Linked DNA regions of Yarrowia lipolytica. The protein of the gene in region 2 purifies or fractionates together with the protein of the main gene of each other region. This does not show direct contact. Links are inferred from orthologs where the notes say so. Each region holds a gene or a part of one and is shown on either strand. Other genes may lie near its edges. The genes, in order: YALI1_C25829g, YALI1_E18802g, YALI1_B05690g and YALI1_C17680g.

Evidence for each region.
Region 1: the proteins of YALI1_E18802g (region 2) and YALI1_C25829g purify together in Saccharomyces cerevisiae (affinity purification with mass spectrometry; 3 studies listed by BioGRID). This does not show direct contact. The link is inferred for Yarrowia lipolytica from reciprocal best matches to the Saccharomyces cerevisiae genes APL1 and APL3.
Region 3: the proteins of YALI1_E18802g (region 2) and YALI1_B05690g purify together in Saccharomyces cerevisiae (affinity purification with mass spectrometry; 3 studies listed by BioGRID, with this or other methods). This does not show direct contact. The link is inferred for Yarrowia lipolytica from reciprocal best matches to the Saccharomyces cerevisiae genes APL1 and APS2.
Region 4: the proteins of YALI1_E18802g (region 2) and YALI1_C17680g purify together in Saccharomyces cerevisiae (affinity purification with mass spectrometry; 4 studies listed by BioGRID, with this or other methods). This does not show direct contact. The link is inferred for Yarrowia lipolytica from reciprocal best matches to the Saccharomyces cerevisiae genes APL1 and APM4.

What each region holds. Positions count from the first base shown.
Region 1 is NC_090772.1:2,579,732-2,588,307, reverse strand, and holds YALI1_C25829g (uncharacterized protein), read right to left. Parts: upstream 5,368-8,576; coding exon 5,262-5,367; intron 5,169-5,261; coding exon 2,407-5,168; downstream 1-2,406. Other genes in the region: YALI1_C25877g (uncharacterized protein), read right to left, coding at 1-574; YALI1_C25789g (uncharacterized protein), read right to left, coding at 6,883-8,576. UniProt on the Saccharomyces cerevisiae protein: Adaptins are components of the adaptor complexes which link clathrin to receptors in coated vesicles. Clathrin-associated protein complexes are believed to interact with the cytoplasmic tails of membrane proteins, leading to their selection and concentration.
Region 2 is NC_090774.1:1,875,452-1,883,187, forward strand, and holds YALI1_E18802g (uncharacterized protein), read right to left. Parts: upstream 4,900-7,736; coding exon 4,873-4,899; intron 4,815-4,872; coding exon 2,688-4,814; downstream 1-2,687. Other genes in the region: YALI1_E18749g (uncharacterized protein), read left to right, coding at 1-2,590; YALI1_E18843g (uncharacterized protein), read right to left, coding at 5,240-7,736. UniProt on the Saccharomyces cerevisiae protein: Adaptins are components of the adaptor complexes which link clathrin to receptors in coated vesicles. Clathrin-associated protein complexes are believed to interact with the cytoplasmic tails of membrane proteins, leading to their selection and concentration.
Region 3 is NC_090771.1:565,639-571,597, reverse strand, and holds YALI1_B05690g (uncharacterized protein), read right to left. Parts: upstream 2,526-5,959; coding exon 2,451-2,525; intron 2,306-2,450; coding exon 1,946-2,305; downstream 1-1,945. Other genes in the region: YALI1_B05711g (uncharacterized protein), read right to left, coding at 1-448; YALI1_B05698g (uncharacterized protein), read left to right, coding at 1,633-1,670, 1,717-1,942. UniProt on the Saccharomyces cerevisiae protein: Component of the adaptor complexes which link clathrin to receptors in coated vesicles. Clathrin-associated protein complexes are believed to interact with the cytoplasmic tails of membrane proteins, leading to their selection and concentration.
Region 4 is NC_090772.1:1,764,507-1,772,135, forward strand, and holds YALI1_C17680g (uncharacterized protein), read right to left. Parts: upstream 4,411-7,629; coding exon 4,288-4,410; intron 3,531-4,287; coding exon 2,271-3,530; downstream 1-2,270. Other genes in the region: YALI1_C17640g (uncharacterized protein), read right to left, coding at 1-36; YALI1_C17700g (uncharacterized protein), read right to left, coding at 4,762-5,517; YALI1_C17719g (uncharacterized protein), read right to left, coding at 6,276-7,451. UniProt on the Saccharomyces cerevisiae protein: Component of the adaptor complexes which link clathrin to receptors in coated vesicles. Clathrin-associated protein complexes are believed to interact with the cytoplasmic tails of membrane proteins, leading to their selection and concentration.

The DNA.
Region 1 (8,576 bases), on a different chromosome or scaffold from region 2:
CCTGGAAGCGAGTAAAGGGAACTGTTTTGGGAGGTCCAGGGGCAGGAGCTGAGTTGGGGGCACTAAGAGGGGTAGCAGAAGGAGGTACAGGTTCATAGGGCTGTGGTTGTTGATGCTGTTTAAAATGCTGATCGCGCGGTTGGGGAACCCCTAGCAAATTTCTCATGAGTACCGGGGGACTAGGACTCTCCAGCTTGCGCTTCTTCTCCTTGCCAGCACGCACATTGGCCACTCCTCCTCGTTTGCTTTCGACAAACACGCACTGCTTGCCCTCGCGTCTGCAGCGGGCACAGGGCGGCTTTGACGGGTTGGAAAGGTCTCCCAGGTCGCACTTGATTTTGCGCTTGCGGCAGTTGAGACAGGCCTTGTAGGACCGTCGGAACACGTTTTGCGCCTTTTGCCGCTTGGAGGACGAAATGGCGGCCAGTTCGTCGTCCGAGTTGACGGGCGCGCCGTCCGAGTCGTATTCCACGGTTCCAGAGCCCTCAGGTTCCTCCGAACCCTCTTGCATCGACACTTGACTTTCGTCAATGATGATATCCTGGTCCTCCTCCTTGTTGACTGAGTTGAACATGGTGAAGCAACAATAGGGCAAAGAGCGATCGCTAAATCGGTCGGGTTGGATCTAGACCGCTACTATCTCGTGTGTTTTTCCGTTTTTCCGCTTTCAAACTCCTTTTTCCGTGATCCACAGCTCGAGGTGTTGTGGTGATGTGCCAACCGATAACCGAGAAGAATATAGGCGGGGTAATAACCGAGGAGCCGAGTTGCGTAGAAAGACGATGATGGGTCTCGCGTGGGGCTCGCGTGGGCTGGTTGGATGTAGCTCAGAAGACTCGCACACACGACTGGTGCTCGTAGTGGGGTGTGAGGTGGCGGATTTTGTCAATTTCCAAAGACGTGTCTGGTTGATACTTTTTAATGTCCATACAATGGGGGCGGAGAAGAGGCTACATTTTAAGGTTTGAAAAGAAAGGCAAAACAGAAGGAACAGAAGGGGGGGAAAAAACTGGCCCTGTTGGCAGAAAATTAGAATATAAAATCGAAATGTGGAAATTTGGAAAATATAAAATATAAAATTGGAACATTAGAAAAGAGAAAATTAGAACATAGAAAAATAAGAAAATATGGGTCCCCTTCTGGATCGTTTTGGCAGACACTGAAACTGGACGAAACCTCGTATCGTATTGTACAGTAAGCTCCACATTTATTTGACGTTGGAGCTACATTCTATAGGTACAAGCACAATATAATTCAGCCATAAGCAGCTACTTTGGACAAGTATGTACAGTACTGTGCCCACCCATCCCCGTCTCTCTCCAAACCACAGTTTAACTCTCGCTGTGAGTTACTGTTAGCTATCACCGGTCTGGGGAAGCCTACATAAATGCCGTAGGGTCTCGTAAAAGAGGCGGTGGGGAATGCAGGACTGTATATAAAAGGGAGTGCAAAAAAAAAAGGATAAAAAAAAGCAGCATAGATAATTCGACGTGGGTCTGCAAGTCACATGATAAACCTGGGGCAATCTTCCCTTTGAAAATCGTCACACTCTCGTTTGATTGTTGTTTTCCGCCCCTCCTCCCTCCAACATCCAGTCCCACTTTCCTCCAGACTAATCTGTTGGGTCTCAACTAACATGTGCAGTAGTGCCGTCTGTGTGGGGCTTCTTACAGCTGAGGTGTGCACTGTAAATGTACAGTGCTGGGTGATCCAGAGTACAGTACTGGTACAATAACAGTAGAAATGACTGCTTTGAAAGCAATGGGAGACACCTTTGTGACACCGTGCCACTTGGACGTAATCACCACCCATTCAGCTAAGTTCTCACTCTCACAGTGATCATCTCCTTGTGTGTCCAACGTCCCTCTCTTGTCGCCATCTTTTAGCTTTCGAGCTGAGACAGGTGATGAGGGTGTTCACTCAACACGAGTAAGACAAGCGACTTGCTGCTGTGAAATTAGTGCTCCACGACGCTTAGATGCATGGCAGTTACCAGTAGCCGAGGTAGATGGAGCACACTTCATAGTGGTGGTGTTGGGGTGTTTCTGGGGCAATTGTCAATTGTACTGTATGTGCGGTACCCGTACAGTAGAAACACTCAATGAGCCCCTGCTCACTTGACTGCAAGTACATACATCGGTAGTACGAGTACAAATAGAGTCAAAGTACAGTAACTAAGTATGGGTGTACTGTACTTGTACAGCCCTGACAGAATGTGCACTCCGATGTACTCCTCCTGTTCAGTTCATCCCAGTGCCAGTGCCGGGAATTCAACCTCTTCTGGGACGGTTAGGCCATGTGACACAGCAGTACATACAACCACTGCTTCCAGGTATAACACTCACGATATCATTAATAAATCATTCATTCATTCATTCTATATTACGCTGTGTTATTTCCCTATGCCTACATAATGTCCTGGTAATAATCGCTCATACACTTGCCCACAATGGCGGGCAAGACCGCATTGGTGCCTCGAATGGTGATGCTAAACTGATTGCCCTGCAGCTTTTGAAGACACCCCAGCAGTCCAAAGTTGCCACTGACAGATGTGTAGAGTACTCCTGCGCCGTAGATGGCGTCCCGAGTGCTCTGCTGAGCATCAATGGACCATCCAAAGCCCTTCATGACCTTGAGGTTATGAGCAGGGTTGGCAGACTTGGAGATATCCTGGGGCTTGAAGATACGCCGACTTTCCTTGTCTGCCAGCTGGTTCCATCGGTTCTGGAAGTCACCTGTGGACACCTGGCTGGCGGTCATGAACTTGGAAATGACAATAGGCAGCTTGAGATGCAGCACCTTGAGGGTTCCAGCCATGTACGTAATCTTGATGGTGGGCGACGAGGTGAAGGGTTTGTGGCAGTTGAGGATAATAACCTGCTGGGTCTGCTTGTTGGGCTCGATGGACGAGTCCGGGAAGTTCTTGGTGGACACCGTCAGGTTGTCAGGCTCCTTGTTTGTGATTTCACACGACAGAGATGAGATCTTGGTGCCCGAGTTGTTGACAAAGTACAGAATTACACAACCCAGGTTCTTTCTGTATTCGGACTTGAGACCCACCTGCATGACAGGGTCCTTGAAGAAGGTGCCTTCGTCCTTGATGCACAGATCGTAGAAGCCCAGATCCCAGTTGGGCGACAGGCCGGAGTGGGAAACGCCTCTTGAAGGAGGGGGAGGGGGGGTGGTCTTGTTTCCGGTAGTCACGTTATTTTCGTCACCAAAGGGAGACGCAGAATCCGATCTGTTGGACGAAGAAATCTGGCTGTTCTTTCGCATGATGCTCTTGGACCGAATGGCGTCAACCTCGGACTTTCCAGACTTGCCCAGACCCCAGGAACGCTGGTCCTGAGAGGTAAGTTCTCGAGCATGCAATCTAGAAAGCAAAGCAGACGTTCGGCCTTCGAATGGAGGCATCTCATCGCAGATAGTCTTCAGAAGCTCCGGTTTCTGGATGATTGACACGTACTCAATGGCTCGTTGTTGAATCTCAGAGTCCGCACTGGAAGTGTACGCCGTGAGAACTCGTGAGATATGCGGTTTGATGTCTGGGAACATGTTAGCCAGCTTGATGTAGGTAGACAGCAACATAGCCTTGGTGGGCGCAGACACCTGTCTGAAATGCGAATGCAGGTTGTAGAAGAGCTGGATGGGCTGGACTTCTGTTAGCAGGTCTCCATACTCGCCCAAGACGTATGCTCCGGTCTTGACCATGCATTCCTGACACTGGGGCTGCGCGAGATAAGTGTTGAGAGTCTGACTGGCGTACTGCTGGAGAGACTCGTTGTTGACGACAATCTGAACGACTCGCTGCCAAACTTCTTCGGACACGTGTGCCCCGGCAACAGCAATCAGCTTGAGCGAAATGTCCACATACCACTTGTATTCAGTTGCATATTTTTCAACCAGAACGGCAATCTTGATGACCATTTCTTCTCTGATGGCGAAGTCAGCAGTAACAAGGTATCTAAGCAGCTCGGCGACGATAGTCTTGACGTTGGACGAGTCACAGACACAGTAGAGCACATCCAGAGACTTTCGTCGGATAGAAATGTCCTTGTCCTTGAGGTTTCCAAGCACCGTAATGAGAAACTTTTTGACAGGAAGTGCACTGTTTTCCGACATTTGCGACGAGACCTCGTATCGAGCAGCCAGACGGGCCAGGGCTGTGAGGGCCAGGTATCTTAAGTTTGTCTCCTTTGACGAAATAAAATCGCCTAGGATAGACAGCAGCTTTGCATCGGGAGCCATGTCCATATGAATACACAGGTTGATAGCCTCAAACAAGACGGCATGCTGGGCGTTACTTTGTTGCGAGCTCTGGGCGGGTTGGGAGCACTTATCCACAGTTTCGAGCACAGTCTGGCGCAGCATGTCGGTGGTAGTCTCGTTTGCAGCATCCGGAGGAGGGTAATATTGCAGGAGCTTGAGCATCTTCACTAGCAACCACGGCGACTGGACTCCGTAATAAATATAGTCTCTGGGCGCCTGGTTGTTGACACACAGGTCGTAGAGTCGTCTGACTACTCGGATATGGGAAGTTGCACAGGCCTCTGGGTCGTGTTGAACCAAAGCAATAGCCAGAGAACAGACTGAGGTAGCCACTCCAAGGTCCGGATCGTCAATCAGAGCAATGATTCGGTCGTACCATTGGGGCTCCACAATATTGGGGTTCTTTCGGAACAGTCGTAGCAGCGCCAAAGAAGCCTTCTTCCTCACAAAGGTCGAACTGGTAGGCGAAATCAGCAGTTTGTACACGTCGTGGTTTAGCTCGCTGCCCATCATCTCGCTACCCACCGTAGCCACCAGATGAAGCGCCAGACAGTTGTGCATCTCGTCCATACCATCCAGGTCTTTCTGCACAGAGTTGATCACCATATGCACCAGTTCGTGATCCTCATTGATGAGCACCGACAGCGCAATGTATCCCATTTGTTTCTCGCTCAATTTCGTCGAGTTGATGAGCTTGACACACTCCAGGTGGCCAAAGTCCACCTTGTAGCCCAAAATGTAAATGTACAGCAGCTTGCCCACGTACTTTTTCTTTTGGTAGCCGCTGAGATTGGGGTCCGTGAACTTTTGTCGGATGTTGGCCAGCTCCTGGTTCACTCGTTTCTCTTCCATTTCCCGAGCCCGTGCATTTCTCAGATCCGCAATGAATTGTGTCAATCCTGGGTTAATATGGCGAATGACTGACATCCAGGTCTTGATATATTGTTCTCAATATCTTCCTACCCTCTCAGCGTCTACGGACGCCTACTCACCCTTCATATCCTTCTCTTTGGGCCGAATCAGCTCGCCGAGCTTCTGCTGGCTCTCCTTGGGCCGGATTTTTCGCCCAATGTTTTTCAGGTTTTTGATTTCCTCCATGGTGGTTGAACAGGCCGTGGTGAGATAATTTCAGCTCTCTCTATTTACACGACACGCAGCTCGGCAACGTTAACCTAAGCGCGAATTTCCATCACGTGCCTTACGCAGGGGTGAAAATAAGGGGGCCCGTTACTGCGGGAAGTAGCGGGCGGATTTTGCTCGCAAGAGTCGGAATCAATTCATTGAGCTATGGAGATTACTTCTATCCGCTCCAATTCCGTCAAAAGTGTCCCCAACACCCCGTTTAACATATCCCCCGCCCTCCTTGCTCTATCCTAAACTTGCTTCGGATGGGCCCGTCTGATAAAGTTGAAGGTTGGTCAAAGCCAGCCATGTGTCTTTTGAGAACCAGATTTGACACCTGTCTGGTGTTTCGACGCGTTTCTGGCGACTGCCAGTTGGTTAGAATTCGCTCCAAAGTTTTCCAGCTCCCAATTCTTGCGTCGACGCTGTTTCACTCCGTCTTGTAGCGGCCCAGATGGAGATAACCGCCTCACATAAGTAACTCTGACATGCATGAGCAAGGTGGAAAAATGTGCACCAATATATTTGGAGCATTCCAGCCGCGACTTGTCGCACTTGCACTCGTAGTCGTACCAAGCTCGGCAGCTTGACTCACGTGACACATGTTTCTCCACTCACGGTCGGTCCACAACCCCTCCATTCTCGTACTCGCTCATTCTATACATGAGCCAGGCGGAGCTAACGCAGCCGGAATAAAGACGCAGCGTTAACACGCCCGTAGCACATGTCAGAGGCGCAATTTGAGACATGAACTGAGCGTATGAACGCAACAACTTGACTATATACAGTAGTTTACAGATACTCAAGGCACGTATAACGATAATATTCATCCCGAAAGATAAGATATGTGTTGGATAGCCGTCATAATACAACGGTATCAGTCGATCGACACATGTTAGGGAAAAAAAGCCGATGCTGGACTGCCTTTATCATTGAAGCAAGGAAGTACATTTGTTTCTTAACGGTGATCGCTAGAACGTTAAAAGGGAACAAATACCAATTATTAAGGCAATAGAAGAGTAATTTGGCACCATTTGGACATCTATATCTGCTCAAAATCTCATTTCAACCTCTTTTTTTTCCCACCGTTTTCCCATATTACTAATCATACAACGTAGACCAGACCCAAAAAAACACCGTTTTTAAAGTTGTTGATGTGGTGGCTCAATGGTAGAGCTTTCGACTCCAGTCAACTTGGTTGTAATCGAAGGGTTGCAGGTTCAATTCCTGTCCATGTCATGTTAATGACAGTGGAGGAACATTAGCCGGTTTGATTCCGGTGGCTTCTCAAAGCTGATCAACAACTTTTTGTCCTCTCGGATTGCGACGGTATGGTTTTTTTTGCGTGTTTTTTTTGAATATTGTACAAGTACATAAGCGTAGTTGTGTACTCACAGGTTTTTTTGTTCCTATTAAAAATTCATATATACAATCCAATCTCTATATACACCAATCGACTATGTCTCTGTCCTCAAACAGCTCATTCCATGACTAAGCAAAAATGCTGTCGACAATGGGCTGGATCTTGTCGGGAGTAACTGCCTCGTACTGATCCACCTCCATTGTGAAGCTACCCCGACCCTGGGTCATGGATCGCAGAGTCTTTAGGTAGCCAACCATCTCTCGGAGAGGAACCCGAGCATGCACCACCGACTGTTGGGTTCGAGTCTGATCCTGATGCTTAGAAAGGTACATGGTGTAATCAGCAGGAACGTAGGTGTTGGTCGCCATTGCAACGTACTCCTCCGAGTGGATATCTCCTTCGTTCAACTGAGAGGGGTCCATAATGCTCACAATTTGTCCGTTTCGTGATCCACTAAGATCCTTGACCACTAGACCGATGTCAGCCTCGTTGACAGACACGTAGACGTTCATGATAGGCTCCATGAGAGTGGCGTTGGCAGTAGACAGAGCCTCCATGATAGCCAGACGGGTTGCTGTCTTGAGAGAAGCTGTATTGTTAATATGCTGCGCGATATGCCAGGCTTCGATTACAACTCGTACACTTCGAAGAGGGAGTCTGCAAACAGGGCCGCAGGACACAAGAGGGGGAATAGATCCCACTCGGAAACACTCTTCCATGATTTCGGGGGTAAGTTCCTTTGTATCTCGTTCAAACGAGATGCGCTGGTTTCCTTCTCCAACGGACTCAAGGTCGGCATCAGACAGCTCGTAAGGGAAAGAAACTGTGTTTTGTTCATGATCAATCACATTCTCGTTTTCACAAGCTTCATCCATCTCAGTGATGGGCTCCAATCGAAGTCGAACAGTGCTGACAGCTCCAGGTTCGGGCTCGACGGTCTTGGTGATACTTTTGGTAGGTTCATTAAGAGTCTCTTTGTAAGAAATGATGATAGGACCGATGACGATGTTGGCCTTGAAGTCCTCAATCAGTCGGTTCTGAGCAATCTCAAGATGAAGTTCTCCCATACCAGAGAGTGTGGTCTGGTTGGTCTCATCATCAAACGAAACGTTGAGAGAGGGATCTTCGCGAAGAAGCAGTTCAAGAGCCTCATTCATGGGTCGAGTGTCGCCAATGGACGCAGGGTCAATTCGAACAAAGAACACCGGAGGAGGGACAGCGATGGGCTTGAGCTGAATCAAACGGTTATCCGGGGGAAGTTTCATTACACCGTCCTTCTTGATACTGTGGCAGACAATGGTATCACCAGTAGCGAGTCCCTGGGAACCCAAAATGACTCCAATGTTACCCTCAGTGATAGACGTGACCTCTGAGGTGGTATCAGCATGAACCTTGAGCAGACGAGAAACACGGTCCTTGGTTCCAGATGTAGTGTTGTATAGGACACTGTTCTGCTTCAACTCGCCCTTGTATACTCTCACGTAGACAAGTGTGCCCTTTTGGGGATCCTGGACAACCTTGAAACACAGAGCACAGCACAGGTTCTTCATCGAATCGTCGAGAGTGATGGCCCGTTCCGGAATGACCTTGGACTTCTTACCTCCAGTGTACGACTTGGCAATTAAAGCGTCAGTAGGAGGACGTTCTGCCGGAGAAGGGAGGAAGTCGACAACTGCATCCATGAGGGGCTGGACGCCAATGTTTCGAAAAGATGCACCGCACAGAACTGGAACAATGTCGTTGTTGATGGTGGCGGTTCTCAGGGCCCGTTTAATGTCTTCAGTAGTGATTTGCATGTAATCTTCAGATTCCAGAAACTTTT
Region 2 (7,736 bases):
AAAAATGAAATCCTTAGATTACCAAGGGACCGAGGTGGAGTACTTGAGGGAAAAGATTGAGATTCCACAAATACCGACATTTGTGGATGTTATGAATGTGGATCGGAAGAAAGCCACAAACCAAGGACAGGCAATGGTGGATGTCACTCAACTCATCACTGATATCACAACGAAGGAGTCCTACTCTGGGCAGATTGTCGATAATGGATATATGATCATTCCAGAAGAGGAAGCCAGATATGGCGAGCTGGAGTATGAGCCGAACAAGGAAGTCATGGCAGCATTTGAGTTGACCAAGGGGGTCACCAAGTTGTTCACCCACCAAGCTGATGCACTGAATGCCCTATATCGTGGACAAAATGTGGTTGTGTGTACACCCACTTCTTCGGGAAAGTCACTAATTTACCAGACGCCTGTTCTAGAGTCGCTTCTAAACAATGATTCATCCAGGGCCTTGTTTATCTTTCCAACTAAGGCGCTGGCACAGGACCAGAAGAGATCGCTGACAGAGCTTTCCCTGGCCCTTGGGCTTGACTATGGAACAGTCGAAACCTTTGATGGAGATACCCCCTTTGAGAAACGATGCGAAATTAGAGACCGGGCTCGTGTCGTCTTCACAAATCCAGATATGATGCATGTCAGCATTCTGCCAAAACTAGATGCAGATAGATCTTCCTGGAGGCAGTTCATCCAAAACCTGAGATATGTCGTGGTGGATGAAATCCACTATTACAACTCCCTATTTGGCACACACGTGAGTCTTATTCTGAGACGGCTAAGGCGCGTGTGCAAGTTACTGGGGAATAACGTGGTACAGTTCATTTCCTGCAGTGCTACCATCAACAGCCCTCTCACTCACATGAGTAATTTGTTTGGCCTAGACGAGGGATCCATCACTTTGGTCGACTCACCTGGCGGAGCGCACGGTCTCAAACATTTCTTAGCCTGGAACACTCCTTACATATCGCCCACAGATCCCCGAAGCGGCCGCGTATCTGTGGTCGGTGAAGCCATCTCTCTTCTGGCACACATGGTGAAAGAGAACGTACGTACCATTGTTTTCTGCAGAGTCAGGGTTATTTGCGAGCAAATTATCAAAGGTGTTCGTCAAAAGTTTGTGGATGAAGGCAGACCCGATCTGTCTAACTTGGTTATGAGTTACCGCGGCGGCTATTCTCCACAAGACCGCCGCAAAATCGAGCAGGACATGTTTGCTGGTTGTTTAGTGGGTATAGTTGCTACTAACGCCCTGGAGCTGGGAATTGATATTGGACAGCTGGACGTATGTATCGTTGCCGGATTTCCCATGACTGTGTCTAATCTACGACAACAGAGTGGCCGTGCTGGACGACGAAAGGACGGATCAGACAGTTTGACTATTGTCATTGGTTCTGGAGATCCCGTGGACCAATTCTACATGAAAAACCCTGACAAAATGCTTACCGAGCCTACAGAAGCCCTTACAATCGAGCCTCTTACTAACCTATTACTCCTCGAAAGTCATATTCAATGTGCAGCTTCGGAGTTCCCCATTGAGCTGACACATGATGTGGAATTTTTCGGTCCTTTATTGCATACAGTGAAGGACAAACTAATTGAAGACAAGACTGACGAGACAACCTTCTATCACACATCATCACGGTTCTCTGACAATCCTGCTAAGGATGTTTCCATTAGAGGCATTGAGGAGAACCACTATGCTGTAGTGGATATCACCCACAACAAGGGTCACATCATTGAGCTTCTGGAAGAGAGCAGAGTGCCATTTTCGTTATACGAGGGAGGAATCTTTATGCACCAAGGGTTTCCCTACCTTGTTGTTGATGTCTCAGTGGAAGAACGAATGGGTAAGGTCCGAAGGGTCAATGTGGACTGGTATACGAGACAGCGAGACTTCACAGATGTGGATCCAGTCCAGTCAGAGGAGGTGAAACAGCTTTCGTATGGAAATGGGGGCGGAAAGGTGTCATTTGGAAACATCCGCATCACAACGACTGTCTTTGGCTTCTTCAAGCTTGACAAGCGAGATCGAATCCTGGAGGCTGTGGAGGTTGACCATCCGTCGTTTGTGATAAACACAAAGGGGTTCTGGATTGATATTCCACAATCCACTATGAAACTGATCGAGGCCAAGAAGCTCTCTCTGGCCGGTGCAATTCACGCCGCCGAACATGCTCTCATCAACTTCTTTCCAAGATATGTTGTCTGTGGACCAGGAGATGTACGCACAGAGTGTAAAGCTCCTGAAAAGGAGTTTGCTAAACGGCAATCCACTCGAAGACGGCCTTCACGGTTGATATTTGGAGACAAGGTAGGCGGCGAGGGCGGCTCTGGCTTGTCACAGAAGGCTTTTCAGTTTGTGGAAGAGATCGTCAACAACGCTGTCGATGGAGTTAACGACTGTGAATGCGACTGGGGTTGTCACTCATGTGTTGCTGGGGCCTTTTGCACGGAGAATGGCCTTGTGTTAAGTAAACCAGGGGCACAGATCATTCTATCCAAGCTCGTCGGTAGGGATATTGACTGGACTAAGGTGAAGGAGGGTCCTGAGCCGAACATGCCTATAGCAGAGACTATCACAATCGAATAGACATTCGACAAGTCAACACAATAAAATATAAAATCTATTGTAAATATTACATATGGGGGTACTGTACTGTACATTACTGTACTTGTACATACAAATGTTACCACAACAAGTTCTGGGTATTTTGAGAGCCCTGAGCAATACCGTTCTGTGTAACGAAGTAGCCTTGGCTGCCACTTCCGTCATCCAGCAGCTGCTGTGATTGATGGTGCACAGCAACGCTGTTAGATCGCTGGGGCATTTGCGGGAAGCTGGGGGTAGTAGGAGTACCTGTGGTAGGGGTGGGGATCAGCGGAGTGTACTGGGCCAGAGATGGGCTCTGAAGAGTGCCCAGATTCAATGATGCAATGTCTGGCATGCTAGGAGCAGGCTGCTTTGACTTTTCAGCCTGCTCAGCAAGCTGTTTAAGTTCATCCACATCGCTGTCTTTTCGAGGAATGAGACACGGCGATGGAGTGAGCTTTCTGGGTTTGGCCAGTCGGAATACATGGCGAACAGGCTTGAGATAGATAGAAGCGAGTGTACCGATGCCAAGCTCCAACTCTTCCAGAACTCGAGGGTCCATGATTGCTTCATCCTCAACATGGATCAGAGGCATTTTATCGGGATGCACAATGTCTCTGGCAGCAGAGGGGTCAGACGACAAGAGACGCCAGTACATGTATCCTCGGTCTCGCAGGTCGGGGTTGTCAGTCTCCTCAGTAGCCCACTTGAGCACCTTGGGAACCATCGCCTGGCCTCTGGTAGGTCGCAGGATGAAAAGTTTGACGGTGGCCGTCAAAAGTGCAAGCTGAACGTTGACGGGCTCATCGTGCCACGTAGAAAGGAAATGTTGCTCCAGAATGAGATGCGAGTCATCAATTCGGTCAGCGTACTGACCGACAATCCAGACCATGGCCTCACGGGCCTCCGGCTCATCGAGAGCATCCAGGTGCTCACACAGCTCACCAATGACGCCCTCGAACCGACCGGGGTATCGTCGAAGAATGTTCTTGAGAGCTACAATGGCTTCTTGCACAATATATGACACCCGGGTCTCCACAAGGTACATGAGTGTGTCGACACTGGCCTTTGCGGCTGTAGCAGACTCCAATTTGAGGGCCAGCTTTCCAATGGCTCGTACAGACTTTCGAACCACCTGCACGTCGATTTCCGTCGCGTACTCACGCAGCTCACGCAGCACAACTCCAATGTTGCTGTCGTTGGCCAGCAAATAGATAAGCTCCAGCTTAGTGGTCTTGATATAGATGGGGTCGTTGTACTTGCAGAAGAAAGCCTTAACAGACAGGCCCTGGAGCAGCTGGGGTTTTGATTGGAGGATAAGGATGCAGTTTCGGAGCGCAAGGTACTGCAACTCAGGCTGCCTCGAAATGAGGTTGACCATTGCGGAACTCAGCTTGGTGGGGATCTGGGGCACGTGTTCCAGGAGGTTCTGCGAATAATTGGCGAGGTAGACAATGAGACGCACAGTTCCGAGAACCACAGCAGCATTAGAGTGCTGCAACCGCGGAAGAACACGCTCCACCATACGCTCCGCTTCCAGAGCTGTCTGTGGGGTCCAGCATAGTAGCGCCTGGAGCATGCTGATCTGCGACCATTCGGAACACTCCCCAAGCACGGTAGCAATCTTGGACGCGTGGTTGTGATCGAGTGTGAGCTGCAAATCACTAGACTTTTCGGTGATGTCCATCAGGGCAGCCAGTGCTGAGGCCACCACAGTGGGGTTTCCATCGTTCAGCAGCTTGTTGAGCAGTGCGATCAAGTCAGAGTGCTCAACAATCTTGGTGTCATGGGACCACATTTTAGCCACGGCCAGACACGCAGTCTTGCGAACATAGGGGTCCTCATCAAACAACAGTCGCTTGGTAGGCTCCACTCCCTCCCTGATGAAGTCCTCCAGAGGAATAGAGGAAAGTGTTTTGAGGGCCAGGGCCCGAATCAAGGGCGACTCCCGGGATCCAGCATCGTCCAGAAGAGGGTCCAGCGCTCCCGTGGCCAGCTCAGGTTTAGCCTTGCAGTATGTGATGAGATAGAGGAAACACATCTTCTTCACGTCCAGATCGTTGGACGATCGGATCATGTCGATAATGTCCTCGAATAAGACAATCATCTCATTGTTGCTCATGGTCATGTTGGCCACGATCTTCTTCAGCACCGCCTTCTTCTTTCCGACATTTTTCGGACCTTTGGCTGCCTGCAGCTCCGTTCTCAATTCCGCAGCTTTTCCCTGAGTTAGCATAACCTCCAAGACGCGCCCGCAAAGCGCGACCACCCCAAATACTCACCTTGGTGAAGAATTTCAAGTCACTCATCTTGTCGTGTACAAGAACAATTTACGTGTTCCGACTGTTAGTGCATATGCAATATCGCGCAGCCCATTATGTAAGGGGGGAGACCATGCAAAGCTAATATGGCGATGCTGAGATGGGTACCGGAATTCGGCCTGAATTATTGCTAAATACTGGAAAATATATCAAAAAATCGAATTAAACTACAAACGACTGATGAAGCAGATTCGGACGTGCTCAGATTATGCCAGATCATGCCATGACACGTCACCTCACTCTACAGTTTTGTAGGTATCCGAATAACACCAATAATATATATATAATTCATCAATAAAAACTCATTCCAATCCAATCCTACATCAGCCTAAGTATCGGGATACGATCTCAAATCCATAGTAAGAATCTTGGACGAGTTCACCTCCTGATCTCGGTAGATACCAACTAAACACTCTCCATGAGTATACAGACCCCGCTTGAGAGAAATCACAATGAACTGACACTTGCTGCCAGCATGCTTCCGAATGTAGTTGGCGACTCGTTGCACGTTGGCATTATCCAGAGCAGCATCAATCTCATCAAGCACAAAGAAGGGCGACGGGTGGAAAGAGTGGATGGAGAAAAGTAGGGCCAAAGCAGCCATAGTCTTCTCTCCTCCAGAGAGAAGCTCCATTTCTCGAAATCGTTTCATGGGGGGCATGGCGTGGTACTTGATTCCCTCAAGGTAAGGCTCATGCTCATCTTCGACAGTCAGAGTAGCCGAACCTCCCAGAGGAAACGCATCAGAACGAGTGAGCTCCTTGTACGTAGCGTCAATGACTCCGGAAATGTGCTCGAAGGCAGCATTGAACTTATCGCATCGAGCGTCTCGCACCTCTCTGAATTGGGCCTGCAGCTCCTGGAGTGCCTCACGTTCTCTCTTGGACTCAGCTTCGATGCTAGCACCCTCGGCCTCCACTTGCTCGAGTCGAGACACGGCCTTCAGGTTGGGGTTGATTCGCTCCAGTTCAGCCTGCAGAGCCTTGATCTTGGAAACAAGAGTAGAATCGTCGGCAAGTCTTCGAATGCCCTGGGGAAGCGACGAGAAGTCAACCTCAATATCGATATCCATTTGCGAGTCGTCTCCCTCAACCAGAGGCACAGACTCGAGATCACCTGACACCAGAGGAAGCTCAATGCCCTCAATCTTGCACTCTCGCAGAACCTCGTACCGCTGAGTAGCAGCAGTCTCAAGCTCGGTCTCAGACTGGGCAAGCTTTCGTCGCAGGTTATCGACCACGCCCTGAGCTCGGGAAAGATGCTCCTTGGCAGCGTTGGACTCAGTTGACGCGTTCTGAACGGCAGCTGTGAGCTTCTGAACCTGCTTTGCCTCAGCTCGAGCCTTTTCTTCCAGAATACCAATGTCCTCTCTCAGCTGGGCCTCATCGGCCTCCCAGCCATCCACAGCTGCCTTGTCATCATCGATAGACTGTCGAATCTTGGCCAGTCGCCCCTTGCACTCGTCCACACGCTTGGAGCCAAACTTGAGCTGTGACTCGAGAGTAGCAATCTGCTGAGAGAATGCGAGCCGCTTTCGCTCGGCACCAGCGGAGAGAGAGCCATGGGTCTGTTCATATGCAAACACGTCCTCAACAGTCACGCCGACACGAGTGCAATAAGACGAGAACACGGTGTACCAGACTTCGTCAAGGCGTTGTTGAATGGTGGCCTTCTGTGTCTCGAGCTTTTCGAGATCACTGGCGGTGCTGGCAATCTGCTTCTTGCTCTTGGCAGCCTCCTCGCTGTAGTACTTGAGCTGCGAATTGATATCCTTGAGACGGTCCTTCAGGCTGGCAACATGCTTCTGGGCAGCAGACACTTCCTGTCGCACCTTGTCAACCTCACGCTGCAGTGTATCCTGACGCTCGGGGTCAAACTTTTGCCGACCAACAGTCTGTAGCTCCAAAACCAGAGCATCCTTCTCTGCCTGGAGCTTTGTAACCTCAGACTCGTCCCATTTGGATGCTCGCTTGCCGCCATGGTGGCCCTTCTGGGTAGTACCACCAGTCATAAGACCAGCCTTGTGAATCACGGAGCCATCGGTGGTCACAGCCTTGACATTCAGGCTCCATCCAAGGCGTTTAGCCTCCTTAAGGTCGTCACACACAATGGCCGAGCCACAAACGTACTGGAAAGCCCGTTCGTACTGAGACGAAAAGGAAATGGCATCAATGGCAAGTACAGCCCCACGAAGACGCGACCGCAACGACGAGTTGACAGGCATGGCCTTGATAGTATCGAGGGGAATGAACGAGGCAAGACCGCCCTGCTGCTCCTTGAGGTATGCAATACAGTCCTGTGCAGTTTTGAAACTGTCCACAACAATGGAATCAATGTCCTTACCGAGAATGGTCTCCACAGCAAGATCGTGTCGCTTCTCCTTGGGCTTGCACAGGTCGTAGACGAGACCGTGGACCTTCTGTGCCGAGAAAACATGCTTCAGGTTGGCAACAGTCTCTTTAAGTCGTCGTTCTCGCTCAGTCTGTCGCTTGACCGCATTTAGCTCAATCAGACGGTTAGCCACAACACCCAGCTTGTCGCCAAGCTCCAGCTCGACACGTCGTCGGGTAGTCTGTTCGTCCACAACCCGAGCCAGAGACTCACTCTGAGTTCTCAGAGCAGACTGGTGGGTCTTGAGTACCTCCTCAGCTTCCTTCAGTTGGGTCTGGTAGACGCCAAACTCGCTTTTAAACTCCTTGACCTTGAGTTCCGAGTCCTCCTGTGCCTGCTCCAGAGCTCGCTTATGGTCCAGAACAGGTCTGAGTTTTCGCTTCACCGTCTCAATCTCAGCCTGCTCAGCCAGCGACCGCTTGTGCACCTCATTT
Region 3 (5,959 bases), on a different chromosome or scaffold from region 2:
AGTAGGTGCTGATGACCTGGGTGGTGTTGTGGGCTCGGTCTCGGGCCGTCTTGGACAGCAGATCCGGCCGGGGTGTGAAGTTGACGTAGTCACTAGGCTGCTGTTGAGCCACAGACTGTTGCTGTGGTTGTTGTTGCTGCTGTTGATGCTGTTGATGCTGTTGCTGTTGCTGTTGTTGTTGCTGTTGCTGTTGCTGTTGCTGTTGCTGTTGCTGTTGCTGTTGCTGTTGATGCTGTTGCTGCTGCTGTTGGTACTGGCTGTGCTGTTGCTGCTGGTACTGCTGCTGGCTGTTGTACTGTTGCTGGTTGAACTGCTGCTGCTGATCCAGAGACGTGTTGGACTGGTTGGAGTTCTGCTGATACAGCCCCGACGGAGGCGGCATGAGGTTGTGAGGCTGCTGCGACCCGTACATGGGCTGGCCCTGGCCAGGAACCCACTTGTCTGTCATCTTGCTTGCTTGTGTGGAGAGCGGTGTGGGTGTAGTTGTAGCTAGTGTGGTGTCTGTCTGGGTCCAACTATCCGAGTGTCTCTCTGTGTGTCTGTGTGTGTGTAAAAGGGGCTGGGTTAGGTGACGTGGAATTATGCAGGAGAAAAGGTTAACGTGTGTGAATGTAGAGGAACACCAGACGGGTGGAGAGGGGAGCTGAAGGGTGCGAATATATAGACGGTGACGGGTTTTGTGTCACACGCCACACGCAGGACTGTCTCTTTTTCTTTTTCTTTTTGCCCCCGAATTCGGACCACAACAACACGTATTATTGCAACATTAAAAGTCAGTTCGTGACAGACAGATGAGGCACACCAAAAATAATGTGAAATAGTTAATCGCAAAAGGGCGGTCTGATTGGAGGTGGATTTGGGTCGGGAACGCGACAAAAATAGTGATTTTTGTACACATGGGTGTCTCTTCCTGGTTGTATATTTTTTCTTCAATTTTCCCCAACCTTTTTCTCCACTTTTATCCGATTTTACACTGATTATTCCCCCCACCATACGTGAGCCTATTTGTGGGTAATTAATATTATTTTCGCTCTGTTTTAAAGAAAAAAAGCAACTTGAGGCCAAAAATACGGCTACAACTATCAGTTCAAAAATAGTACAAAATACAAAAATATTAAACCGGAAAAATCAACGCCCCCATTGGTCGATAACTATCCCTATCTGTGATCTCAACGACTTTCATTGTCAATATTTGCATCGGTTGATTTTGCAACCTGCCCCGGGTGTTTTTTAAATATTATTTTCCTATTTTGAATCTTTTTTTACTGTTTTTCTTTTTCCTTTTTCTTTTTTTAGTATTTTTCTTTTTTTTTCTGTTTTTCTTTTTACGTGACTTTTTTACGTAGCCTAATAGTGTTGATCTACGCGTACAGCAGAACGACATGCTCGGGATGAACATGAGACACAGACATGGTGGAGAAGATCTGAAACATCTAGGAAGATCAGAAAAGTGTGTGTATTACTATGGATTTATTTCCCATCCTCTAGGAGCAATATTCGCCAAGCTAGAGTGATTTACATCTCTGGTGACTACTCAAAGCGCGTAAAACCGCCCCGAGCGAAGAGAAAAATCACACAATAAGTCAACCAGACGTTCTGAATCGGAAGATGTAGATAATTTGATGTGACCAGATGGTTGGTAGTGTCACCGCTGTCCTCCTACGTTGCATGTTCGTTCTCCTTGATAATCACGGAGTAGACAAGACCTGGTAAGAGATATCTCAACTATTCTTATACCATTGTCATCGGACAGACCAGGGCTTTCCAATGGTACCATAGTTTCGCTCAAACATCCTCTCTTCGCGTCGTTCTGCTCGTAACCTCATGCGCTCTCCCCTGCTCCTACAATAGAACCCTCCCTCCCCCTCAACATGTCAATATCATAAATCATATTGTCCTGGCTCTTGTTCGACGCCTCCATAGCCCATGTCCTTCCCTATAAATACTAACTGGCCTTGTCAATCTCCTCGAGTCGAGCCAGAACGACCTTTTTGCTGGTTTCTTCGAGCTCGCCGGCCAGAAACACCTCGTCGAGGATCGCATACACCTTGTAGAAGTTGAAGACAAGATCCAGCTCGCAAACGTTGCCGAAAAACGTGTCCAGCACCTCCACAAACAGATGGATGGCCTCCAGGTAGAAGAGCTCATTGTCGGATTCGTCGACCACAATGCAAAAGAAAAGTCCCGCGTACCGGCGGTAGATGACCTTGTAGTTGCCCAGCTCCACAAAATTGCTCTGGTATCGCTGATCTCGGGCGGCCACCAGCCGATGCACCTCTCCCATCAATTTGATTTTTTCCGTGTCCTGGGTTAGTCCATGCGGACAAACGATATATGGCTGTGTTCGTCTGGATCTTGCCGTTCGAATGGTGGTGCTTCCATCTTGATCGCAGCACTCCTCGCCGAGTTGGTCAAGATGAAGAAACCTGGGAGCCCCATCATGTACTCACCGAATACGCATTGTACCACTTGGCAAGTCGCGTTTTGCCCTGTCGGTTCTGTACCAAAATGTACTGTAACACCATTATGACGGCTTTGTGTCGCGAAATGTCGTGTCACCGCTGGTCGAAAGAAATGTATGGCTTTCGTGACTTGCAGAGTGGTACAGCGGCGTCTGCATGAGGTAATTACAGGGGTGCTTAGTCAGCGGAGGGGTGGGACAGGCGTGTGAATGAGGCGGGTCGATGAGGTCACGTGACGGTGTCTCGGGAGGGTAAATTGGGTGGTGATTGTGTGTTTTGGTTGGTTATGGCATGTTTTGGTGTTAGTTGGTCGACTCTTGTAGCACTTGATATGGGTGTATATGATGGATTGGGGAAGCTGCTTGAAGTGGAATGCATTGACGAGGAAGAAGAATGCTGGAGCCCCAAACTGTCGAATCAGGAACCGATTCGGAGATTCAAAAGTCAACTATCAACCTTCTTCGGTCCTTCGACCTCTCCATCTTCAGCTATTGTGGTCTTTTTGGGTGCTACACTCAGTATATAAGCACTTGCATATCTAGAGTCAATAAGATGGGGGAATTCAGAAGGAGACAGGAAAGAGCTGTGGGGTGATTTTTTTTAATAGAGACTGATGGCTGTTATTGCAATTTGGGTCAATTTCGCCTTTTAGGGATCCGATGCGACGTTCCTAGGGCTGGATATGGACGATTTTGCCTATCAGAAAAGAGCAAATAAAACAAAATGAAATGAAATAAAATAAAATAAAATAAAATGAAATAAAATAACATAAAATAACATAAACCAAAAACTTCCCCCAAAACTTCCCCCAAAAAACCCCCAAAATGAAAAAACCGCATGGCTGCGGACAAAAAAGATACCACCACAGACGAAGGAAAACATACACGGCCAAAACGCCACCACGTTTATATTAGAATATGTTCGCTGCGAATTCAATGGCGTGGCTATTTTTCCAACCAGTGTGACTGGAGCCCGAGTTGGAGACCCGTTTCGTAGGGTTCAGGTCGTTCACACGCCCAACAGCTGAAGATACGGATACCTGGCGTTGTTTTAAGTGAAAAGCGACGATATTTCCATGGACTGGAGTTGTCCAAAGCGACAGCTTCATTTTGTATATCTACAAGTAGTCGATTTGGCCATTGTACTGTTCTCAAAGTGCGCTCAACAACCGCGGCTAGTGTCTGTCGGCAAAGTTGCACCCCTTAAAACGCTGGGAATTAATTGTGTTAAATCCAACTTTGTTTGGGGTTGGCTCGGGGATTTTCTGCGTTGTAATTGCCAGAAAATGGCGATAATTCCAGAGAATGGGAATGGGGGTTTTGGACAACGACAGCTGCGACAATCGTGTTGGAAGTGTCGAAAAACGTGCTGGAATCACTGAGAATATTAACTGTTAATTTTAGAGCCCCATGGAACCACAAGACGGGCACCACTGAGTCGATGGAGGGACGGAGAAAGAAATGAAAGAAAAAAAAAGAAAAAAAAAAAGAAAGAAAAAAGAATAAAAAAAAAGAAAGAAAAAAGAAAAAAAAAGAAAGAAAAAAGAAAGAAAAGAAAAGAACTAACCTTCCCGTAATAACTGTAGCCTTCCATTAACAGATGAACTCGCCTTAATTTCAAACCAGCGACAAGAACGACACACCTCATTCGAGCCGGTAGAACAACAGACGAGGCCGTTGGAGAATTTGTTGCTCCGGAGGAGCTGGCCAGGAACTGCTGAGGGGACTGGACGCCCGAGCCACCGACCAATGGTCAAGAACTGGATCCACAGTGGTGGAAGCCTGCCGCGTCCTACGTGTCCTACTTCTCTTCCCACAAGGACCGCCTCACTCTCGTCCGCGTACAGTAGAGCATCAACGAGTGGAGCTGACAGACTATATCTGAGCGTAAGCAACTGGTTCTTCCTGATCAGATTTTGGTTCTCCCCCCACTTGTGGTCATGCTGGTGCCCAACTGCGGAATGAGAGGAGCCCTAGAACTGCTTGAACGAACCCAGCTCCTAGAACCACTCTTCAGCACCTGAGGATAGATTCGACAGTCGCCGCCAACTCCGGACTAAGACAAATCATCTAATTCTCAGTCTGGAGTACATTTGTTGAGCCCACAGACAGGTCTTCTGTTCGAAGCCATGTGAGAGCGCTTGGCGAGACTGTGGACATCTGTCGACATTTAACCAACTGGAGAGAATACCTCTGGACCTGAATCCCAAAAACAGGATGTATGCCGACAGGGAATGTTCCAGCGCAGCTGGAGACAAGCTGTACTACTGGAGAACTCCGTCAACCAGGAATACCCATGTAGTACAAGCCAGTTGAAATGGAAACGGTTGAAGAACAGAATGACGTAGTGATAGACCAAAGGAGTTCCGTAAACGCCTTGACAAAGACACCAAGCTGTGCTGGAGAGTAAAAGCTGTTTTGGACAATAAAACAAACTGTCTACTCCATCGCATCTTGGCATAACGGTCTATGCTGGGAGCTCCAGCTGATATCCTGTCCACGCTCTACATTCAGCTATTCTTGAGCATGGCGTAGCGCTATATAGACGCTTGCAGAGTTCAGGAGCGTTCCATGCTCTTTGGTATCGATTCACTTCTCCAGCGCAGAAGCTGTTGATGGTCTGTAACTGCTACCAACCGCTACTGGGGTGAAGTGCAAGTCACAGTGGCATTTTCAGATGGTTCCAACGGGAGAAACTGAGGACTGTTTGCCAGTTACTACGGAGACTCCGTTCCGCTGACAAAAGCCACTACCAAATGCAATGAGGATGTGTTCTGGGAGAAATCACAGCTAATATCGCATCCGCAAGACTTGCTAGAGGTGGTTCCCCTCTCTTTTCGTCGGAGAGGTTCCAGAAGAGTCACCTACCGAACTTCTCCGTTAGCGATCAGAAAAGAGGCCTGAGTGCCAGGATCTCGTCGGATACCTTCCAGCGTCACCAATGGTGTTGGTCCCTGGAGTGTCAATGGTGTTGGTCCCTGGAGTGTCAATGGTGTTGGTCCCTGGAGTGTCAGTAGTAATAGCCAAGTCCAGATAGTAAGGAGATGTCTGTGAGAGCCGGAGATGGACAATAACATGTCAACTTCCCACCGACTTCCGATTCTGACCACCACCGATATCCTTGTCCAGAACCAGTGGCTCTCGAAAGACTCAAGTGCCATGAAAAAAAGATCCAGCAGCTAGATGTTGACCTCAAATCGACAAGTCTGTATCTGGGCTGGGCTGAATCTCTTAGAACCGGTTCATGGAATTACTTGAGAACTCCAACCAACGGATCAGAGTCTGAATACTGCCCAGAGAAGGCGAGGTGATTTTTCGGACGGTGGGACAGATATATTAGTGGTGTCATTCCTTACTTCATCCACAGGGGTGAGAAAAGTATTGAACTTGTGTATCTATATAGTAATTAATAAAAAGACATTTTTTTATAATTTTTTATTATAATTTCATTAACCATTTTAACCATTTTAAACATAAAACAGTCAAAAAAACTATTTA
Region 4 (7,629 bases), on a different chromosome or scaffold from region 2:
CTTCAGACTGTTGTCTCTGAGTACTTTGCTGGCCATTGAGTGAAGACCTGAAGGAGAGGTGGAATTCTGGGCTGATCAAACACCCAGCCTGGTCTAAACAAGATCACCATGAACAATTTGCAGAACAGATAACCATTAAATCCCTTCTGAAGGCTCCATTCTTTACCCTGACTCGTCGACAGAACATCATAACTTTTACTCACCATTCCAGCACTGTCGGAGGACCGAAATAGATACTGTACAAGCTTCTGACTTATAGCCTCCACCCAGATAATGAGATCGGACCAAGACATTCTCTCTTCGTTGCTGCCATGTACTTTGTGGGAAACTTGACAGTCTGGATCCTGTCTGCTACTTAAAGCGCTTTCCAAGCTGACAAGAGAGTGCCCAGATGACCAGCATCTCGAGAAGTGCAAAGCAAGTTGAATCGTGAAAAGAGTCGACTATAGACAATTGTCTTTCAAAATCTATGTGCAATCTCTGTAAGTCACTGATGGACTAGTTCCAGGAAAAACAGGAGTCCTGGTTCCCGAGTTCAGAAAGCAGCCCTCAGTTTCGTTATTGAGCCCATACAGACATTTCAGGGACCGCTCATTCCAACTCCTCAGGGTATAGTAGGGTATCCAGTTGTCCGATTGGCTCTACGACTAGTTCAATTGAGTCTTCAGTTGTCCAGTTCGAATCGCCAGTTGTTCTCCAGTGATTCCTTTGACCCATCCATCCAGAAGTGAATCTCGTTTCACTGAGTCCAAAACCCCAGTTGCATCACCATTCACAGGATGCTCAAAACCATCCTTCAACTTTACAGTACTTGTAACTTGCTGTCTATTGTTCCTAACGGCCCGTCTAGCCAGTTCACCTGCTCTACTCGTAGATAGCCCCCGTCACCATCTCTTTAGACACCGATCGAATCACCAGCGCAGTCTCCTTCCCATATAGTTCCTGGGAATCACTGGTTGAGACATAAGCACCAAGTGTGTCTGATCAGTCCTGATTGAATCTCCCGGTTCAGTCAATCGAGCTTCTCTCAACGAATCTCCAACTGAATTCCCAATTGACCCTATCAGCAGCCAGGGCAACAATTGATCCCACTCGTTCAACTCTTTACCCATCTGAATCTGATCGGGAACCGAAGAGCCACTTCCAATGAGGTCTCAATTCCAGATGGATTCCCTTCTGTTGAGTGTCAGCTCCTGTCCCGAGTACAGCTCCCAAAAACAACACCAATTCAGGTCCCACTCTCAAAGTGAGTCCGATTGCTGAACTCATCGAAGACCCCAAGTCAAGCCCACTGCTCGATCAAGAAACTACTCCCTCCAAAGATCACTCCTTCGGGTCACCTACCCAAACCAAGTCCTCGCATCAAAGTTATAACCGATATCTGTTGCAGTTCCAAAGAAGATCTTTATTCCTCTAGCAACAGGTACTAGAGAGTCCCTAGTTGGCCCCGTCGCATCTGCCGCTAATCCCATATTGGTGGAAGCTTTGGAGGTAACAGTGGTGGCAGTGCGACTCCTGGACCCCAATCGTCAACCCCCTCAGATGTGGGAAGGGAGTTGGGGACAGTGGTAACTGGTTGCGGTATCAAAGAGCAGACAGCTCAAACAGTAGCAATAAACTGCCCGACAGTAGGTGAGGATCCAATCGAACTTCCCCCGCTGATTTGAACAGATCAGATACCAGTCAGAGGCAGTGCTTCTTCAGAAGTGCTGACTCTGGTTAGGTCTTCTCTGGTTCACCTGGTAAAGACCATCTCAATGGTGTCTACTCTCGAGTAACTGGCGAGGGATGAAGACAACACGGGGTACACTCACTCCAGATCATTGAATAACTGGAGAATTGTGGGGACGAGAATCTGTTGCAACTTCCAACCCTCACTCTGACCGAAACCCAGCGGCGAACGACTCGGCGCTCCCGAAAGCTGACTGTAGGTACCACCGGAAGACAAGGAAGTAGGGGAAGTGAAAGCAAGGATCACAATGCTGAAACTGGCCCAAAAAGTGCTGGGCATTCAGCCAGCGAAACTAGATATCAGGTGCTCTGGTTTTCTCCAAGTTTCGGTGCAAATTTTCTGAACGTTAGTGTCGTTTCTGTTGCTGACTGTCCAATGCAGCTGTTTTGTCTAGGCGCGATGGCCTACGTGAATTGTAGGTAGATGTATCGCACATCGTCGGTCGTCAACTATTCGCCAGAGTGCCAGTATTACTCCACTCCTTCACGTCAGTCAATCCATATTGTCCATTTTGTTAAATTACATCCATACTCCTCCATCAAAATCTAATCTCGTAGCTTCCACCCTTCATCAAGTATCGTACCCACTTAACGGTGTTGTAATTGCTCTTCTCAAACACCTTGAGGTACCTCACCACCAGACCGGAGCACGTGATCATGGTGATTTCAAAGTCCATCGAAATGGGCGGCTTGTTCCACGGCGTCTTCTCCGTGGTAAATGTGAGTTCGGCTGTGGCTCGGAGAGAAATCTCAGAGCCTCCACTGATACGCGACACCTTCCACACAATCTGGTTGGTCGACGAGTCGTACTTCGCCTTGCCGTTGGATGCGTTGATGGTGGTTTTTGCCGCGTTTCGAGGCGTGGGAATGTTGATGACGACGTTGGTAGCTGTCTGCTGCTTGGGGAAGTTCGCCTTGATAACGATATCGTATTCGACTCGTGACTTTCCGACAATCTGCACACTGGGGACCACCTTGAACGGGATGCTTAGGTTCTCCACGCACTTGTAATGCATGAGCTCAAATTCACCATCTGGAGGCACAAAATTGATCGACCGGTCGTGGTCAAAGTTATTCAGCTTGACACAGTGGTGGAAAACACAGTCCTGTAGACCCACAGAGCCGGTGGGGGCAGTGGAGCCACGTCTGCCACCTCGCTTGGACGATCTAGGGTCGTCCTCGTCGTGCTCCTGGTCGAGACGAAGAGTATCGTTCAGTCCAAAAGTGCATTCTGGCACTCCACTGAGTTGCGACTTCATGTGAATGGTTCCATCGACATTAGCAACAAGCACAGAGCCGGTGGGCGAAATGAGTAGGTTGACCTTCTCGACAACATCCACGAACATTTCGTTTCGGTGATGCTTGACGTTGTCTCGTCTCCAGGGAGTGGCACCTGTGATTTGCGAGGTGATGGTCTTGGACCGTTTGAGAGCCTTCATGGATTTCGATCTACTCAGGGCGTCGGGAACAGACACAGACACGGCGCTGGAGCCAGACTCGCTGCCACTTCGCTTGGCCTCCGTCTGAATATACTGCTTCAGCATATCCATCTCTGTGTTTTGGGGAAGGCCAAAGTCGATCATCTCGTCAAGCAGTTCGTAGACCAGAGTGAAGTTCTCCTTGACGCTCTGCTCGTTGAAAGAGCCAAAGTAGGATTTGCCGAGGGCGACAATCTTGTAGAGGAACTCAAACACCATGCCGGCATCCACGTTCGACCGGTTCACCGCAACGACATACATGTCCTCGGACTTGCAGTGCATGAAGGAGGTTGAACCAATGGTAAGAATCGGTGATCGTACCTGGGTTAGTAGTGAAAGGGATGGTGGCTGTAATCGCGAGTTGAAATGGGTGAGAATCGATCTTCATGCCGGAACGAAGCATGAGATACGACTGAGAGCACTCCATATAAAGGTAGGGTGGCTGAAAGAGTGGTAGCAGCTGGACATATATCTGGTTTTGCTGTAGATGTCACTCGTTGTCTCGGTGTCGCATAAGGAAGCGGAGCCAGAAGAAATCGAATCATGAGGGATCACGCTGAGTTTTTGAGCTAGTTGAACTAGTCGTGAGATGAGCAGAACTATGCCCAAGTCAGATACGTTGCTGAAACAGTATAGCTTGTGCTTCGTGAGCTTAGTAGCAGTTGTAGAATCGATATCACCGTATGGTTGCAAGGCGTAGTAAAGGGACTCAATCTCTGCCCCAATGGCGGTTTTCCTCTCAAGAAGAATGTCCTCTCTCACACACGTCCTTCATCGTCCTCTAAGAGAGCATAGACATGGCACAAAAGAGAACAGACCATCATAAAACAATCATAATGACCACACTTTCCCTGTCAACACCTATCCAGCTGTTAGCAGTCAGAGTCAACCTCTATTAATCCCTCCAGCTCAATCTCCTGAGCATTCGCGTCACCACACGGTCACTGGTCGCGTGATGGTCGCAATTTTCATCATAGCAACTCATACACGGCCATGAGCCTTCCATTGCAACATTCCCTCAGTCGCCCAGTCGCCCCCATCAATTTCGTGCTCCAATCCTCCTCCCTTCGGTACTCACCTCGGGATTACTAATGACCTGAATTCGAAAGACATCGGCAATGCTTCTCCGCAACCCGTCGCGGTAGAGACGCGAGATCAGCACCTCGCCCTTCTGGTTGTACAGTAGAATAGCCGAAATCATGGTCAGATGGCGGGCAACACGTAAGCTCGTGACAATTAGCGCATGCACGATATGCACCCCTGCGTGTCTGACTAAGCATAGTGACTAAGCTTGATGATTAAGCTTGATGATTAAGCTTGATGATTAAGCATGTAGGTTATGTGAAGGAAAATCTCTAGATTTGTTCTATTGTTTTCACGTGATTTGAAATTACAAATGAAATACAGATGTACAATACAATGCACCTAATGCATGTTCTAGTGTTGTCGACAGGCAACGGGCCATGGTATCTTGGATATCCCAGATTCATGGCCACTCACATTTCCCATATCCATCTATTCAACTTACTTAGTCCGTTAGTATAATCATGACTCACCACTCAAGAATCATATCGCCAAAGGGCTTGCTCTCATGCAGCTCTCGAACAAGTCCGTTGACGTTACTGAGATACTTGCCTAGCATGATCTGCTTGTCCTCGGTCGTCAGGCGGTACACATTGTCTCTCAACATGGTCTGTCGGTACAGAGTCTTGGATTTGTCCACGTTCTGCCTGGTCTGAGTCTCGGGGATGAGGTAGAAGAAGAGAAACTCGAGGATCTTGAGCTTCACGTCCTTGGGAGTCTCCTTTCGCTTGAACAGCGTGCAGATGGTGGCCAGGCCTCCCATGTGTTCAAACAGTCGGATGTTGGGCACTTCACGCAGCAAACAAGCGACCAGCGCTCGAATCGTCACGTCAACGGCCTGGGGGGTTCCAAGCAGCTTGATGAACAGGCCCATGTTGTTTTCGGTGGCAAAGATGCGCCGACTGGGTTGATGCAGCAAAAGAGCTCCTCGAAGGAGATCGATGGCAAAGGGGAGATGCTGGATGGTGTCTGCGCTGGTAAGCATGCGTTCAATGGTCGTCACGAGGTTAGATGCCACATTATACTCGAACGACTCCTGCAACTGCGAGTACTCCTCGAAGTTGGAGCATAGATCAATGTTGGACGTCTGTCGAGCAGCTCGAACCAGACTCTTGAAAATCGATCGGATTTGCTGCAGACCGGCGTATATCCGCTTGGGCGACGACGACGTTGTGTTTGTAATCGCCGTGGAAAGAGAGCTCTCCATGATGAAAGGTCTGTCCATGGCTGGTGGACAATCGCTGTGGGTGCTGCGTACAAGTGTGTCCAAATGGTGTGTTCAAATGGTGTGTTCAAATGGTATGACCAAATGGTATGTAGCAAGTTTGGTACCGATGGGTGATGTTTTGGGGCAGTCTAAGACAATGTTGCAGTCGTGTGCGGATCTCTGTTTTGCTATGTTTGACGTTGGTCGGGAATGTTGATGTTTCTCCCAATTAGGCAGGTTGCCTGCCGATACCACTGTTGTGCATGTTAGACGCAGGGCAGACCAGCCTCCGCGCAGTTGCCAGTTCGAAGCCGGGCAGCGTAGTGGATAAAGCGGCATGAAACATGGGGCTTTAAGGAGCCGGCGTCAAGTTGCAAGTCTCGTTGCACGTTTCGTGTAGTACTGCTGACTTGAAGAAAGTGTTTAGTCAGTGGCAGATCACATGACAAAGAAACCTTGTTTTGACAGTTCAGGAAAGATGCGCGTCGACTGACAGTGTGTTCGATTCGAGCCTTTGGAGGGTAATAAGTGCGGATTTGAGGAAGGGTTGGTTGGATCCGGCAAATCTGGTAATTGCAATGTTTTTTTTTTTTTTTTTTTTTTTTTTTTTTTTCAATATCTTCGAGTATAATTGACATCCAGACGTGTATTAAAACTACAAGTAGTTGGAGGGCGTTCAAGGGGTACCATATTTTATTTTATTTGCTGCATACTATATTGTACTGTAAATACATGAGCTCCTTTTTGTTAAAAACCAAATGAAAGTTTGTTGATATTTAGTTAACACTTACATCCTGCTTCGACAACCATCTGGTTCCGATAGTATACCAGGCTTGGTGTATCCGCCCGGGCAGTGACGTAGCCAGGGTATGACTTGATGAAGCTCTTGAGCGCGGGCCAGTCTTGGATCTTCCACAGCAGGAACACAGAGCTGAATTTGACAGGAAACTGCTCACGAGGGAAGTAAATGTACTGCTTCTTGTCATTAGCGGACAAGCGCAAGACATTGTTGAAAAATCCCATGCTGTCAGCACTGGTGAACTGTAGCTTTTCAGAATCGGAGCATTGGTTGAACGAGTGCGATCCTGAGTAAAAGACACATGGAACACGGCTGCGAACCTCGTTCGAGTAGTGGCCACGTTGCCACGAGGAGCAGCACGAGTGGCACGAGAGGTAGCCGAGGGGGTGTGAGTAGCGGTGGAGACTGGCTTCACAGCCTGGACAGCGGAAGCATCGGAAACCTCCTCATGAGACCCGACACTCCACATGAGAGCACTGTCACCCTTCGCGGGAAGTCGTGGGAACCAGGAACCTCTGGCGGCGAGAAGCTTCCGTTCAGAGCTGGGGAGATGATTAATGACCTTTGTGTAACGCTCCAACATATCTGCAATCTGTTTATCAGCGCAGACAGCGGTGATACTGAGCTCAGAACGAGTGGACTCTGGAGCCTCGATGCAGGCGAGCACATCACCCCAGTGGTTGTCATCACGCTGAGAATACCACGTGACCCCTGCATCAGGAAGGAGACAAGGGAGACGGCAACACTTGATGAAGTCATCAATTGGAGAGTTTCGGAGTGCGTAGGCGACGCTTTGCAAGTAGGACACGACAAGGAACTGTTGTCGTGGATCCTTCAAGAAAGACTTGCGATCCATGTTGAACTGTCGCTCATGGGCTGCAGGAGTAGAAGAGCTGTCGTCAACAAGTCCAACGTATTGAGCAATGGCGCGGAAGAAACCCGAGCACATCTCAGTGAGGGGTTCATAATCACGAGTCTGCTTAGCGTGCGTGTGGGCAGACTTGAAGTCGTTGATCATGGGCAAATAGTCCGACTGGTCCCTGACAGAGAGGTGGCGCGTCAGGAACTCGAATCTCCGGTACAGAGGCATTGGAGCGACCATGACGGCCTTGAGGAGGCGGGTGTCAAGGTTACCAGAGTGTTTCATGAACATCTTGGATAGGGCCTCAGCTGAGTCTACACTGGTTCCCTCAGTGGGAGTAGAAGAGTTTAGCAGGAGGTCAATAACCCGGCGACTGCCCCCTTCCCATGGAAGCCCGCAACCGCCCAGGATCTAATGTCGCTTACAGCGGTGTGACCATTTTTCACAAATATTGCGAGGTGAAATCACG